Daphnia pulex: one gene and its partner. The protein of the gene in region 2 purifies or fractionates together with the protein of the main gene of each other region. This does not show direct contact. Links are inferred from orthologs where the notes say so. Each region holds a gene or a part of one and is shown on either strand. Other genes may lie near its edges.

The links.
Region 1: the proteins of ubiquilin-1-like (region 2) and 26S proteasome non-ATPase regulatory subunit 4-like purify together in Drosophila melanogaster (affinity purification with western blotting; 3 studies listed by BioGRID, with this or other methods). This does not show direct contact. The link is inferred for Daphnia pulex from reciprocal best matches to the Drosophila melanogaster genes Ubqn and Rpn10.

Annotation. Positions count from the first base shown.
Region 1 is NC_060020.1:3,403,465-3,411,741, reverse strand, and holds 26S proteasome non-ATPase regulatory subunit 4-like, read right to left. Parts: upstream 5,113-8,277; 5' UTR 4,986-5,112; coding exon 4,960-4,985; intron 4,771-4,959; coding exon 4,630-4,770; intron 4,563-4,629; coding exon 4,451-4,562; intron 4,388-4,450; coding exon 4,232-4,387; intron 4,164-4,231; coding exon 4,076-4,163; intron 4,013-4,075; coding exon 3,885-4,012; intron 3,823-3,884; coding exon 3,534-3,822; intron 3,469-3,533; coding exon 3,242-3,468; 3' UTR 3,180-3,241; downstream 1-3,179. Other genes in the region: GTP-binding protein 2-like, read right to left, coding at 599-808, 1,156-1,221; vesicle transport protein SEC20-like, read left to right, coding at 2,105-2,188, 2,262-2,455, 2,511-2,603, 2,665-2,786, 2,851-3,038; golgin subfamily A member 7-like, read right to left, coding at 5,790-5,846, 6,093-6,194, 6,256-6,408, 6,584-6,724, 6,788-6,802; DNA-directed RNA polymerases I, II, and III subunit RPABC1, read left to right, coding at 7,183-7,239, 7,304-7,392, 7,447-7,648, 7,711-7,929, 7,994-8,059. UniProt on the Drosophila melanogaster protein: Binds and presumably selects ubiquitin-conjugates for destruction.
Region 2 is NC_060019.1:8,122,611-8,130,887, reverse strand, and holds ubiquilin-1-like, read right to left. Parts: upstream 4,502-8,277; 5' UTR 4,338-4,501; coding exon 4,239-4,337; intron 4,138-4,238; coding exon 3,852-4,137; intron 3,785-3,851; coding exon 3,594-3,784; intron 3,532-3,593; coding exon 3,352-3,531; intron 3,287-3,351; coding exon 3,129-3,286; intron 3,066-3,128; coding exon 2,800-3,065; intron 2,724-2,799; coding exon 2,552-2,723; intron 2,480-2,551; coding exon 2,338-2,479; intron 2,269-2,337; coding exon 2,130-2,268; intron 2,069-2,129; coding exon 1,998-2,068; 3' UTR 1,632-1,997; downstream 1-1,631. Other genes in the region: cytoplasmic dynein 1 intermediate chain-like, read left to right, coding at 1-172, 248-485, 548-708, 780-920, 980-1,105, 1,189-1,434; zinc transporter ZIP1-like, read right to left, coding at 4,817-5,223, 5,299-5,537, 5,601-5,825, 5,898-6,025; protein hairy-like, read left to right, coding at 7,346-7,417, 7,494-7,595, 7,695-8,277.

The DNA of each region.
Region 1 (8,277 bases), on a different chromosome or scaffold from region 2:
AGTTATGCAAATCAAAATCAATCCATCATTCATCATAAAGCGTGCATCAAAATCGTAAAGAACATCGGAATATTGATTAATGCCCTTGGTATGATAATGAATCACTTTTGGCTACCGTCCCTGTGGGCTATTTATTACTTAAGGTCTAGACCAAAAGCACCCTAAAAAGAATATATACTTTCAAAGTACAATGCTGCGAAATTCCTGGAATCTGTAACTTGAATTTGAAAGCACTAGATGTCGTTTTCAAACTTTCCACGTGTAATCTAAATAAAAAATGACGTCATGCAAAATAATCACAAACGTCATCAAAACGTGTTTCAAATGACCGGGTCCCAAAAGTGCATTGAACCATATTTCTCTAAACTGCTTACCTTACCATATACAGCCTTAATGACTGGGTTTTGACTAAAAGATTAATGATACAATTATGCAGTAAGATTTAATCTCTTGTTTTGCTTATTACTACAAGCGGGAAGAGTTATGGCGGGTTTTTCTCCGCATGAATTTTTAATTACAACTGAAAACATTCTTTAACTAATTGCTTATTTAAAAAATGGATGAGTGCACATCCGTGATATACTAGCGTTAGTAATACCTGCGTGACAAGATGCTGGATCCGTTGCTCCGAAGGGTTCACTAATTTAAGTTTATATTCAATATTGCCGGATTGCGGTTCTGGTGGTAGATTCTTCTTTTGGTTGCTGTTACTGGCCAGAGGATCACCTATTTCGAGCTGAGAAATCCATTCGTCATCGTCTGAATCCGATCCATTGTCGTACAACCCCAAAAATGCATCCATAGGGTCCTTTTTTTAAAAAGAGATCATCACAATAAAGTCGTAAATAAATAGAAAAAGAAAGTGCATCTTATTTATTGGGCACTCTACAGTCTTGTTATCTGGGTCAGAAAAAATAGTAAAATTCAGTGTTTACTTTCACTGCACTCTTATAAAAATTTTAGGGAAACCTGCCCCACTGTTGGTCGTTTAGAACACGGTAAACAAAAGAATTGGGGTTTGAAGAAGAAAAAAAGAAATCTGAACAAGTCTGAACACGACTATAGAACATAACGGATATCATGCTGACGTCATGTGACAACAAAGGACTGTGTATAGCGGTTTCCCTTTCACAAAATGTGATGAAATATACTTACGGGGCTCCCGATGGATTTTGTTTTATGGCGTTTGTTTTGACGCTGCTGTTGAATGACTATGGCCATCTTCAAAATATAGACTAGTTAAAGCCCAAGGAGACCTAAAATTTAGCGACCACCAGTACGAGCGAAGGGAGCTAAAATGTGTTTGTTGTTGTGGTTTACTCGAGAATAACAAAGCTACGACACTAAAATTAAAACTGCCGAATGGGCTTTGCCAAATGCGACACAGTTTTGTGCGCAATATTTATACTTTTTGTTGATTTCCAAAGGTACTATTTATACTACGGTATTTGTAAGCTACTTTTCACTTGGCATCAAAGATGGGTCGACAAGGGATCGACTTGAACACAACACAAACTGGGCGCGAAATGAACTGTAGTAACTAGGCTGTCCGAGGTATCATTTCATCTAGATTGAGTAGATCACCACAGATTAAACAAGCTACACATCACAATGCACGTCCAAACTGTAACTGCTCTTCTCTATAGGCCAATTCCACAATTTTTTAAAAAGAACTCTGCCAGTAGAACAAACCGAAACCTCTATTCTTTCACTTCTTTCTATTCTATTCCACTTTCGTCAGCATTACAAGTACACTTCCCAGCGGTCCAAAAAGGAAGCGTTTGTTTTGCTTATCACTATACTATGCGCCATTAAAAGAACCGATTTACCTTGAATGACCTCCAGCAGCCAGCACTCTGTCTCCAAGTTTTCTAAACAGCTTAGAAATTATGACGAAACTTTCTTATTACATTAGAAACAAAGATTCTAATCGTTTTAATTATTTTTACGCAATAAAAAAGTACTTCTTTTGGAATGATGCAATTTTTTCTTTCTTGGGCAACGTGGCACACATCACAACAAACCATCTGCTGTGAATCTGTCAGTGTAGCGAATAGCGATAAATAGGCAGTTTCGTGCATTTTACCCCAAATATTAAAATACAATGAAAAATTCTGAAGGTAGTGAAATAGAATCTTTGAAAAATGACATTCTTAAAGGAAATTTGACCATACAAACCATTCTGCATGTATGTAATGCAAATATTAAATTATATTAATGTAATCGGATTGCTATTAATCATCCACACTTTTTCTGTAAAGCAAATACAAAAGACAGATATTACAGAAGCTGATATTGTGGTGTTGAACTCAGAATATCGGTCAGAATTTAGAAAACTTAAAAATTGTATCGATGAGTTTGAAAAAATTTCCAAAGATGAAGATGAGGATGGAGAACTATCTGAAGATGTCAATCTCTTCAAAAATCAATTGAAAAGTCTCCAAAGTGCATTTCGGTAATAGTTTGTAAGTTTTCATGTTTTAATGCATTATTTTCTTTCATCTTTCCAGGAAAGCTAATGTACAGTGCCAACTAACTGTCAGTTTAAAAAACAAAGCTGAACTCTTTTACAGTAATCCTGAAGATATGGAAGTAAGATCCAGGTAACTTTATGAATTTGATTTCTGTCTTGTTGGCTTATTTGAATTTATGTTAAATTTGTAGACAAACTAAATCAAAAGAGGAACTTATCAAAATGTCAACCAATGTGACTGCCAATTTGAGAAGTATAAGTCAATCCATGGCTAGTGTTCTGGAGCAAAATAGAGGAACTCTAGAAGTACTTGGTATGAACAATTAATCCATTTTTTTTTAAATTTAATCAATACTATAAATTAATATATTGTGTAGCTCAATCATCACATGCTGTGAGTGACAATCAGGATGAGTTTAAAGTTATGGGAAGCGCCTTAACAACCACAAAAAAGTTGGTCTCCCGGTTTGGACGGAGAGAGACGACCGATTTGATTTTAATTATTCTAGCTTTGGCTGCATTCTTTGCAGCTTGTGTATATGTCATTCAAAAGCGCATGTTCTAGAGATAAATTTGTACATCAAGATTTTTTGAGTTTCTTTATTCAGTTCAGAAAAATACGAAAACATCCTAGAATAATCAATTACGCAGTTATGTGCCAACCGAACAAAACACCTTCCGCATTACATTAAATGCAGACGTAATGAACAGATGAAAATCAATTTATTCCGGATTCAAACATTCGCGACGCGTAAGAAATCAATCTGTTTACTTGGAGTCAGGCTTTTTGCCTTGCTTTTTGTCTTTATCTTGGTTTCGCAAAGCGTCGACGGCAGATTGTACAGCATCACTTGAAGGATCAACACCTGGAAGCGTTTCTAGGACACTCTGAAGAAATTCGGGATCTTTCATAACTTCATCATAATCATCACTAGCCGCAGCTGCTGGCGTTGGTTCTACTTCCATAGCTTCGGTTTCCGTTTTTACTGGTCCCTCTGAATTTTATATTAAATTATTAGTCTACAAACCGCAACAACATATCACCTTACAAAGAACTTACGAGCTTCTGCCATGGACATTTGCATTGCATATGCAATTTGTTCCTCTTCAGTCATTGTTGCGAAATCGGGATAAACGGGTGCTGCAGGGGCGGCACTGGCTACAGTTGTATTGACACTTGGTTGATCCATAGACATAGCCAACGCACGCTCGAGCATAGCATCTTCGTTGGAAGCAGGGGCACCGCCAATAGTGGTAGCTGCAGCGGGCTCTGTAGCCGGCGGATTTCCCGAACGACGAGCTTCGTCCTCTTGACGCTGACGCTGCTCCTCCATCGACACTCGTAACGCCTTTAATAAGAAAATAATTTTAAAATGAAATAATAAACTATTTAAATAGTGATAACACTTACGAGAGCTAATTCAGGATCTTCATTAGGATCGACAAATTCAAAACCTCCAGCCCCCATTCCAACCGCTCCTGTACCATCTTCTCCTTGAATGACTGGTGAGGAAATCAGCGCATCGGCAAGATGGGGCCCTTTAAACAAAAAATTGATACTGTAAAAATATATACATCCTTTAAAAGGATTTGTAAAATTACCGGGTGGAATGGTAACTAAATGACTGCCAGTGCCATCTTTGCCATTAAGAGTATTGATAAAACTAGCCAGCACTTCAGTTCCTCCATTCTAATAAAATCCAAAATCATGTAAGAAATTACCGAAATAGTTATTTAAAAAACAAAGAAAGAACTCACTTCCTCCCCAAAGCAAATGATATCAACATTAACTTTTTCTTTCTTCAGTTTTCTGGCCAATTTGTTCAATTCCTTTTCATCGAAATTCAGGGGGGAACCTATGAATACTACAATTCTAGTTCGATGATTTTTCCCTTGCCGATGTTTAAGAGCGAGCTATTAGACAGGTAAATTAATATTAGATAACTCAAGAACACAATACTTCAAAATAAATATTACATGGGCAATTCTAACTCCTGTTAGGAGATTGATTGAGCCTTCTGGCTGCACTTGATGAAGCTTTGATAGTATACGCCCAGCATCTGTAGTCAATGTTGCCAGTACCTTGGTGCTGAAATTTAGTGAGGCAACACATCAGTTAGAGAACAAATTGCCGTACAACTTAGCGAAATGCATACTTGGCCAATGTCAGTAGACCAACATTATTTTCTGGGTTAGATCTTGTTTTTGAATGACAAACCATATTAACAGCATCTTGCTGGGCTTGGAGTCGGCTAGGAATGAAATCTCCATTTCGCATGAACTCGCTGTTATCCACACTAAAATTTAAAAATGCCGCATTAACTCAGAAAATTGCAAGTCAACAAGCCTAAAATTCACTCCTCAAGTAGAGCAAATAGATAATCCAAAACAAAAAAATTACTCCCATAATTTGGAATGATATGACCCTTAACTGTTACTTTACCAATTTTCAAATTTAAGATAAGATAGAAACCGGATTTATTTACCAGATCATAGTACTTTCGAGCACCATTTTTGCTTTCTCGATGAAAAAAGTTGTTCAGTCGATGTAAATTTGTGACAATTCATGCGGGGTTGCCAGGAAACCAAAGAAAACGAATTTATCACGATTCTGAATTTCCCGAGTTTTGGTTGGTCCGTTCCTCGTTCTGTACTTCTGTTCCAGTCTGATCTACTAATCCTTTTTTAGGATGATTAAAATTTTTCAGCCTAATCTTTCTTTCAGAATTTATACTTCTCGCGGAGAGAAGTTAATTTATAACCATTTTGTAATTCTTGTAGCTACTTCTTAACTAGTTGGATGCCGTGACGGACAGCGAATTTTCTTTTGTAATTAATTATTAATTTACGCACTAGATACATAAACAGAACTGAATTTATGAGCAAGTTGAAATAAAACAAACACTTAGATAAAAATCAGAAACTTCAATAGTAAATAAATTAGTTAATCTAACAAAATCTGTTAGCTCCTGCTTGGGTTTTTAATGGATTTAAATTTGCAGTATTTAAAATTACCAGTTCACCAATTTAGATCTTACACAAATTTCTACGTTTTATTTATCACCTATTTGCGCTTCCATACGCGGTAGCACAATTCACTTACGTTTGGATATAAAGGAAGCGGTAAATGACGACAAAACCAATTTGTTTCAAAGGATCAGTATTCAAATCACATTTCACAATTTATTCATTTTACAATATCTAGGTAGTTAATGATGATGAGCACATGTTTACACAAACTTAGGATGGGAATATGAAAAAGGAAAACTCAAGTTCATAATTACAAATATATAGATACAAGGATGTCTTCATAAATTTAGTTGTTCCTGGCAGGTGTAGAAGCAGGATTGTCGCTGAAAATGCAAATTTCAATCTGTAGAGATAATTAAGTTAAGGAATGTTTATGTATGAATGGCGTATAGATAAAAATATTCAGTAAAATTATGTTAAATTAAAATTATGTGAAACTAAGTATTACCACATCTAACGATTTTAGGTTTTTTACCATTTGATTTAATATGATTGATACTAGGTATTTTGCTATAATTTTTAAATGTGCTACTTAAGAATAAAACATACAACCTAGTAGCAATTAACTAAGTTTTTTTTAAAAGGATACAACTCTGAGTCCTCGTTCAACAGGGTCAATAATCAGTAGTCCTCTAGGTACATAAACTCTTTCATTTTGTTCAATGATAAATTTGGCCACCTTCTTCAAACACTATAAAAAAAAAGGATGATTAAAGTCAAAATCTAGAGAAGTAGATTCTTACTGGACTTGCCTTCTCAAAATGAGTATCACTACAACAGTATAGCAAGTATGCAGTCAAGCATGCGAAACATCCCTCACAGCATGAGCTACAACTCATTTTTTCTGCTTCTGCATATACCTCATTAAGAGTATTAAGAGTGTACTCAAATTTTTCCCTTTCAATCTAAAACAAATGAATACAGTATTAGAACAATTAAAATGATTTGATAATGATAATAACTGTATATAAATAATTCTGGCATGAGTGCACAATCCAACATGCACACACACCGATTATTTATTTTGACTGCTATTCAACCCTGAACATTAAACAAAATGAAAAACATTTATTTTCTTACCTTCCCTTCCAGTTCTGAGGGAAATTTGGGCTGAAATCTAACTTGAGTTCCTTCACTATAGTCCCTTTGAATAAAAACTTTCTGTGTCGGCGGTGATGGTGCTCCTCTGGCTGAGAAGTCATCAGTTGGGGTCGTTTGTTTCTATCCGTACAAATAAATAAAATGAACAGTTTCGTAGCGACACCACGGTTGAGTAAGAAATACCTTTTTTGACGCCATTACAGTGGTTTTTTTAGGAATAAAGGTCTCTAGAAGGGAAAGGTAAAAGCCATTCACTCCTTAATCTGTCAAATTGGAAAAACCTTATCAGGTACACAGTGATAGTTACTACTCACTAGGTGGCCTTTCCACTCTGAATCTTTTGCCAGGAATAGCAAAATATGGAGGATTGGCTCTAGAGCTCATTTTCACCGCTTGGGGAATGCAGTTAGCACTAAGCATCCAAGAAACTTTGCCACATTGGTAGATTCAGACGATACTTTCGACTTTTCGGCATTGCTCGATTCTTCTCGTCTTTGCTTCTCAATTTCGAAAAAGAAACATCTACTTTCGCACGTGTTGGATTTTTCTTGAACACAACAACCGAATAAAGATTTCTCATGGATGATGAATCGGAAACCTACCGAATGTGGAGAGTTCGGAAGACCATCATGCAGGTAATATCGAATAACAGGTGGTAAATCAAGTTATATTTTCCTGAAGCTGACGTCTCTTTTTCAGCTTTGCCACGATAGAGGGTATTTAGTTACTCAAGATGAGTTGGATCAAACTTTGGAACAGTTCAAAATTCAGTTTGGAGATAAACCAAGGCAAGTATCTTATCACAAAAACTAAAACTGCTTACTTACTAAAGTTTTGTACAGTGAACGGAAGCCAGCTCGCAGTGATCTTATTGTTTTGGTTGCACACAACGATGACCCTACTGACCAAATGTTTGTTTTTTTCCCTGATGAGCCTAAAATTGGAATCAAAACCATCAAAACCTACTGCCAGAGAATGCAAGAAGAAAATATAACAAGGGCCATCATTGTTGTACAATCAGGCATGACACCATCTGCCAAACAGGTACACTAAATGACTAAGTCAATGTATAGCTACTTATTAAAATATATTCTCAATCCATTTAGTCCTTAACGGATATGGCACCAAAATATATCTTGGAATATTTCACTGAATCTGAACTCCTTATCAACATTACTGAGCATGAATTAGTCCCAGAACATGTTGTTCTCACACCAGAGGAAAAACAAGAACTTCTAGGTCGTTATAAACTTAAAGAAAATCAACTGATGCGAATTCAAATGGGGGACCCCGTTGCGCGGTATTTTGGACTTAAAAGAGGACAGGTATCTACAAAGGAGGGGAGTGAAATATTTAGACTATTTATATTATAATAAATTTACTTAACAGGTTGTGAAAATCGTTCGACCTAGTGAAACTGCAGGGCGCTACATTTCCTATCGTCTTGTCTGTTGATATCCGCATTTGAAGTACCACTAAGTTTTTGGTCGAAATTTTGAGACTTCCTCTTTTGATGTGCTGATCGTCATAAAATAAAATGTTTTGAAAAGCCATGTTGCGTGTAAGTCTACTATTATGTCATTTTTTGCTAACTAATGTCAGCTATATTCCATCCATGGGTTCCATCTATCGGAGTGCTGTTATTGATTTCTTGCGGGCAAAGCATATCAATC
Region 2 (8,277 bases):
ACCCGAGTATATCTTCCACTGTCAATCCCCCGTTCTCTCCTGCTGTTTTGCTCGATTCCACCCGAACTTGATCTTGGGTGGCACCTATTCCGGAAAAATTGTCCTGTGGGATAATCGCAGTCCCAAGAGGACACCCGTCCAACGTAGTCCCCTATCCGCAATGGCTCACACGGTAAAACATTTGAATTCGTTTGATCCCTATAGCATTCAATCTTAATTCAACTTTTTTTTTTAAATTATTTTGCAGCACCCGGTCTACTGCCTAAGTGTAGTCGGAACGCAAAATTCGCACAGTTTGATTTCGATTTCAACTGACGGGAAAATGTGCTCGTGGAGTTTAGATATGCTGGCACAACCGCAGGAGACGCTGGACTTGCAACAGCGCCAAAGTCGTGCCGTTGCCGCGACGTGCATGGCCTTCCCCCAGCCCCAATCCGACATCAACAATTTCATCGTTGGCAGCGAGGAAGGCACAATCTACTCCGGTATTTTTATTCAAATAATTCGTTGCATCCTGTCGAAGTAACACGACTATCAATCGAAATAGCTGGTCGTCACGGACCGCGTGCCGGAATTATCGATACCTACGAGGGACACCAAGGACCAATTCGTGGCATGGACTGTCACAACTCTCAAGGACCTATTGATTTTTCACACCTCTTTCTTACGTCCTCTGTCGACTGGACCGTCAAACTTTGGAGTCTCAAGGTGAGAATAGTTTTATTTTTTTATTTTTACGGATCAAGTTACTAATCCATTTCTTTTATTCGATGTTGCAGGAGAACAAACCATTGTATTCATTTGAAGACAATGGTGATTATGTCTATGACGTAGCTTGGTCTCCAATTCATCCAGCTGTGTTCGCCACAGTGGACGGCATGGGCCGTCTTGATGTTTGGAATCTTAATCAAGACACAGAGGTTGGTCTTGTGATTTTTCATACCTCTAAAATTTGGTTTTAACCTCGAATATTATTTAGGTACCAGTTACTAGTATTAATGTTGACGGCAATCCTGCCTTAAATCGTGTCAAGTGGACCCAATCTGGAATGAATCTCACTGTGGGCGATGATAATGGGCGAATTTGGGTTTATGAAGTTGGAGAGGTATGAACTTATCTTGTATATCTTTCGTACTGTTGACTTCTAATGTTTAATGTTTAACTTTTAAATGAATTGTAAATTTTCAGCAATTGGCTGTTCCAAGAGCAGACGAATGGACGCGGTTGGTTCATACACTTCAAGAGTTGCATCAAAATCAGCTGGATGAAGACATGGAAAAAATGAATTTCGGAGTAGGAAGCAGTAGCCTTGGCAGTGGACCTGCCAGTAGTAGCCTGGGAATCGGCAGCAGCATTTCGCAGTTGGCCGGAACCACTTCGCCTCCTAGCAGCTTGGGCAGCATGTCTTCCTCTTCGTCTGCTCCACTCCGCTAGCCAATTAATCCGCTTTTATTTGGGTCTTTGTACACATGTTAACCCAAGTACCTCAAGGATCCTGTTTTTGCCGACGTGCTTTCTATACCTATCTTTGTTTTTTTTTTGCTTTTGGAATGGGAATAATGCACGTGTGGGTACTTGAAATTCTATCCAAGATTAAATATTGAATTACATAAGACTTCACCAACAAAACGTTCTGATCATTTATATATTGGATGGATTCTAACATCAGATTATACAACCAAAGGAAGGGAGAAGTGATAGGCTTGGAAATGTGTCTGGAAAGACCTGGAAAAAAAAACTTAAAGGAGGGTAATAGGACAAGAGATGTTAGACAAAGAAATCAATGTTACAACCCGTCTGACTACAAGAAAAAGTACCTTGTAAACAGTCTTGAAAAGTTAGCGCTCGATATCGAAATCAACTGATCATTTTCAAGATACTCAACCGAGAAGAGTTAGAAAGGAATTACTAGGTGATAAGAAAAGAATGGCAAGAGAGTGGTAAGAAGGAAAGGTAATTATGAAAATAAAAGAACACAAAAAATCTTCAGACAACATTTAAATCATAGGGCGATTCTGCAGTAATCTTTCCACAGCAGCATTCACATCGCCAAAGGTTGCGATCAAGGCTAAAAACAAAAATAAAATTTTAAGAAACTTGTCTGTTTTGAATATTTTCTTAAAAATTACCTTGGAGGTTGGCCTCTCTGTTAATAAATCCCATAGCTGTTAATTGTTCTAACTGTGAACGGTATCTTTCTTCCGGTGGTTGGGTGGAACCACCGCCAATTCCGCTTCCAATTCCACCTTGACCTGCTAGGGAAGTTAGCTATCCGTTCGAAAAATAAATAGTTGTTTTACTGAATTTGTGTGTAAAAATCAATTATTGCGCTTCTACCATGCTTGCCATCATGTTGCTAAAAGCGTCAGATCCAGGCCGGGTAGTCGTCGGTGGAGGAGCTGTTGTCGTCGTATCCGACGCAGCGGGTGTAGTGCTTGCAGCAGGATTCAAAGGCGGAGGAAGAGAACCGAGACCAAGCCTGCAAAATCAATCGAACAAGAATTACATTTACATTCGCTGCCGATTATTATAGAATGAGAAGTTGTCATACGTAGTAGCAAACGATGGTGCGACTTGTCGGAGTTGCTCCATTCCTTGTTGAATCTGCATCATCGCCGACATAGCTTGTGGGTTTGTGACCAAATTCTGAATTTCCGGATTATTGAGCTGAGCCATGAATGTTGGTAGCATTGTCCTCATTTGTTCTTGCATAGCTGGGTTGCCTGATTGACGGTGATATTATAAAATAAATAATTGAAAAACAAAATAACACGAAATGAAACAATTAACTAAACGTACTGGCAAATAGAGGATTGTTGAGGATCATCTGTTCGGCTAGTTGTGGATTTGAACCCATTTGTTGGAACATACTTTGGACATAAGGGGCATTCATCATACTCTGCATAAGTTGCGGATTATCGACAATCTGCTGCATCAAAGACTGCATTCCTGGTGAATTAATCATGCCGGGCATGCCTGGCATGCCTGTTACACCTTGGGCAGCTGAACTGGATGGGCTTCGATTTTCACCACCAGTTCTAGTCTCAGAATTGCTTCCAGGCGACCTAAAAATATAAACGGTGTTTTGTTTCATTTACTATAATAAGCATACTTGACAATAAACAAACTGAGTCGAAGATGGTCCAGACCAGGGATTTGGTAAAGGAGCACGGTTTTCTTGTCCTGCTTGAGGATTAGCCGACCCAGCAAGAGGCCCGGCGTTATTAACCAAAGCGGCAAAAGGATTGCCACCAAACTGTTCTTGAGCAGCATTGAACATTGGCTCCTAAAGAATCAATCAACATCCATCAGTGAGCAAAGCTTCTTGAAAGATTTCCATTTCTTTAAAACCTGAATGTCGCGATACATTCGTTGAAGGGCACTGTAACCTCCTGGAATTGATTCCAAATTAGAAAGAGCCCGATCCTGACTGCGCATAAGTTCCTGCAACATGGCAGGATTCCTTGCAATTTCCATCGTTTGTCTCAACAGTTCTGGATTGTTCATTACATGATTGATTTCTGGATGACGCTGCAAAATTTCAAATTCTATTTTAGTCAGAGTTCCATACTTTTATAACACAGATTGCCTACCTCCAGCAACTGCTGCATTTGTGGGTTAGAAGTCAAAATTTGTCTCATATAGTCAGGGTTACTCATAAGTGATTGAACAAGAGGATTGTCCATCATATTGCGTAGTGTTTCAGGATTTGAAAGTATTTCCCTTTGCATATTTTGCTGCATCTCCATGAAGTTCCCTGAGCCCAATCCCATATTTGATAAACCTAAATAAACAAAAACACAATTTTATAACATAACACTTTTCAAATTTTTTTTTTTTTTTTTACAAACCTGCAAGACCACCCAATCCACCAATTCCAAAGGGAGATGAGGGACTCGGCTCTGCCGGTCTGCTAGGAGTTACAGACGGCTGTGGAATCGTGTTGGATGAAACATTGCTTGGTGATTCCTGTGTGGTTCTGATGGCATTGCCAGATTTGATGACAAGGTGTACTGTGAGTCCATCCTTCAGGTTGTGCCCTTTCAATGTCTCTTGATCTTTAAGAATTTTGCCAGCGAAGATAAGGCACACCTGTTCAGCAGTTGCCCCAAACTTTTCAGCTACAATTTCTTTCAGCTAAAATGGAAATATACATTAGAATGCAGACCAAGAATCAGGATTAAAATAGAGTTCATTAGAAAAACAAATTTGTTACATATTGTTCATTTGAGCATTACCTCTTTGATTGAGGCCTCTTCCGGTACCTCTACATCTTTCTTATCCTTCGGGGTTTTAACGGTCAATTTTATTTTTTGTGGCTCACTCGACTCAGCCATGTTTTAGAAATTCAACGAACACTCGTATGTATTCCAAAATAATTATAGAACAATACAACTTCAGATTCCAGAACTTGTTCGAAAGTTTCTGTCGTCTTCTTGATTACCACATTCGAGAGTAAGGGTAAACGCTGACGTCCGCCAGTGCGCTGCCTAGCGGTTGTCGTCCAAAGCTTTTAGTTCGAACTCCTCTTTCCCCAAGATGTTTGAAATTATGATTAGTCACCATGATTATACGCACTATTGCTTCATTATATTTATGAAAATCCAAGCTTACAGTATCAAAGTACAAATTATGTACACATTTTTATTTATGAAAGTGTTATATGATCATATTCGAAATTAACGCGCCTCATTGTTTGCAAAACAGTTTAAATGTCAAGTTTTCAATAAACACAGAAATAATGTTTTAATAGACCTTGGCATTCATATTGAGTTGAGAATGCCTCTCCAGAGATATAAAATTGGACTTTTATAAACTAAGGACATCTTGGTTTTGCAGTGTCAGGATCCAGAAAGACGATAGCACAAGACGCGGCAAAGCCGAGAATGATGAAGAGCATTTTTGGCGTTCTCAGATCATTGCTATTCAACTCGTGCGGCAGCACTTCGAAAAAGGTCACATAAAGGAACGTTCCGCAAGCCATACCTTGCAAAATACCACTCAATATTGTTGCCTCAAGAGAGTTACTAATTAACTCAACGCCCATTCCGATTCCCAAACCAATCGGAGCAGCGAGACAAAATATTAGAGTCAACTGAATTATCACTCTGGTCCGAAGATTACTCTGAACAAGATTGAGGCTAAGACCAAATGCAATTACACATTTATGGAGCACTACAGCCGCAAAAATTTGCAGAACCTCTTCTACATTTTTTTGCAATCCTGTGATGTTTTGAGAAACAAAAAAAGAGATTAGTATAACTTTATATGAAGAGAGGATTAGAAATTCAATATTACCTATTGCTAATCCCTCAAAAATGGAATGTAGAGATAGAGCCACTGATAATAAGAGAGATCGTAGAGATGAATTGGCTGAATGATGAGAATCATGGCTATGACCACTATGACTATGATGAGATGCTTCATTGATAGGCTGTCCACTTCCATAAAGAAAGGACACCTCAGGATCAGCATTTGTTGCATTTACTTCCCTTGTGGAACCTTGAAGTAAAGGTTCTCTTTCACCAATTTCTTGTCTAAAAAACAAAGTTGAAGCAATGAGTCGTTTTGCACTTAACATACTGTTGTTATCATTTTACTGTGAAGGTTCATGTTTGCAATCAAGAGATATTTGTTCCACAATTAAAACGGTGAAGAGTCCTAGAACAACTAGGAATTCGGCAAATGGAAATGAACTGTTGATTTTCAACGCAACCATGACCTCATCAATGTTGTCTTGCACTTCAGGAAACAAATCTAGTAGACAGGTCCCAAGAAAAACTCCTCCAGCAAAACAGTTCAACAAACTGATTACTCGTGAGTACCTTAAGAAAAGAGAGAAAAACGTACACGTAAACATCAATTTTTGCTTAGAAGAAAGAAAAAAAATATGCGACCTTAGTTTCCGAACAGGATCTGCGACATTTCGGATTGTATCCATTAGCTTTAATGGCAGTAAACATGATAATAGTGTAACCACAAATAACGTAGCTAGAACAATGCTTTTTGCTTTGTTAATGTCCATGGTAGATTAAAGTGAGTTCTTCTTGACATGGGAGTGAAGAAATCAGTCACAGAATTCACTGAATCATCAGTAATTACTTTATGGGTATGACTCAAGCCCAGCAGACGCCCATTGACAGCCCAGCAGTAAACAGTAAACACCATCTTACGGAGATTAACAGTAAAAAATACAAAATCGTTTAGAAATTTGCATTCCCCGGCTTTTCACGCTTTAACGAGTACGAAATGTAATGAAACTAAATTTTGAATATTTTGGTTACTAAGCAACACAAAATGGAATGTTTTGCATACAGTTCACCAAAAGAGTAGAAAAATGATCGCTCAGGCTCAGATCAGAAGCATCAAGCACGGAGCATGGTAGTCAATACGGGAATCTGCAATCAGACTATCAGAGGGACTGTAAATCATAATGTTATATGTAGGCTATAGAATTTGAATAATACAATAAAAAATAAAATAAAATTGAGAAAGACGAAACGCGGTAACAATTGTAGTTTAATGTCAATTAATTTTTATTAAATTTAACCTAATACTGTAGTACCCCAAATAATTTACCCATAGGCTAATTTACTAATCAAATAATCATCATATATTTAGAAGAGTTCACGATAATGTGAGACTAACAAATGCTATGGCCGCACTTCATTTGAAATGTTTAATAATCCGTTAAACATTTTGGTTCTTTTTTCTGCACCTTTGTTAATTCGCTGGCAAAGCCTTCACAAAAAACATTCGATATTTTCGATTTTTATTTCATATTTGTTATTGTGTTATGTAACAGTATAGTGTCTCGTCAGTACGGACAACGGATAATAAATTTCACAGGGAAGGAACCAATCATGGGAAACGTTGCGGCACGCTTACCACGGGGCGAAAGTGTTTTTTTCTTCTGCAGAGACTAAGTTGTTCTTTTTCTGAGGGGCGGTTGAGAGGAAAAGTGAAAAGAGGGCTTGAAAATTACATTCATCGAGCTTTAAGCGTATACGATTATATTGAGGGCGGGGGGAAGAAATGGGAGGTGCTTGGTTTACGGTTGCCACTGTCCTTCATTCAACAGTTTTTCAATGGCAGTTTGTCGGCATTTAAAGGCCTGCGAACCTGTTCTTTTCGTAGGTTCCCAGGGTGTACCACGGAATATTTAGACCATCCTATCCTAGTAAGCCTCGTGATCATCCAGTTCAGTTGGATTCAAACTGTTGTAACGCATACACCTCAACTGTAACGATCCGTTTACTCTTTAAACTTGCGCAGTACTCGTCTGTAGGTTTTTGAGCTAACAAGTCTTACACTTCTGTTCCCTGATTGCACTTAACAAATAAAAATGAACCGAAAAAGTGATTCGTGTTTAACAGATCGTAAATGTTTTGAAGCTCGTGGCTCCGAAAGCAGAAAGGTAAAAGAAATGGACATTTGAATTTCGCAAATAAAATAGTTGTTAACTTTGGCCTTTAAAAAAAATTGAATTATAGGTGCGCAAACCTTTAATGGAAAAGAAGCGTCGAGCACGCATCAACCAGAGCCTAAATGATTTGAAAGATCTTCTCATGGAAACGGACAGCGTAAAAAAAGAGGTGTGTATTATACATATTGCATTCGTTTACATTATATTTTAACTGTTTAAAGTGTTATTAAAAACGAAGCTGGAACTAAATAAAAATTTTAAATTTCAGGGTTCCCGACCGGCTAAACTGGAGAAGGCCGACGTTTTAGAACTAACTGTAAACTACGTCCAGAAGCTTCACAAGGAACGACGTAATAACATGCGGGACAATTCAAATGATGGAAGCACTAGCTGCCCGATCCCTAATGGTTTTTCGCCAAGATCTAATCAATCGTCAAGGTTTAAAGATGGGTTCATCGAGTGCGCTCGCATCGTTCGAGAAGTTTTACACAATCAACCCCAGCAAGCAATGGAAGGAGACCTGCAAAAAAGAGTCGGCCAATATCTTGACCGATGCTTAACTAATTTAGTTCCCGAACTACTGACCAACCGAAAATCGCTTTCACCTTCGCTCGGAAGCGACTCATGCACATCGTTTGAAGAAAAATACATGGACCCTTCCGAATTTGTCATGGACAGCTCTTCACCTGCAAATCGTATTTGTTCATCACCTTCAACATCGGAGGAAAGTCGGGACTCGTGCTCTCGACGGTCATTTTCAAACGAAATCAACAGCTTTGCTGATTTAACATCAACGCCGAATTCTTCACCGAGCAATGCGCTCAACGTGATACCGTCTCGCTGGACTTGCG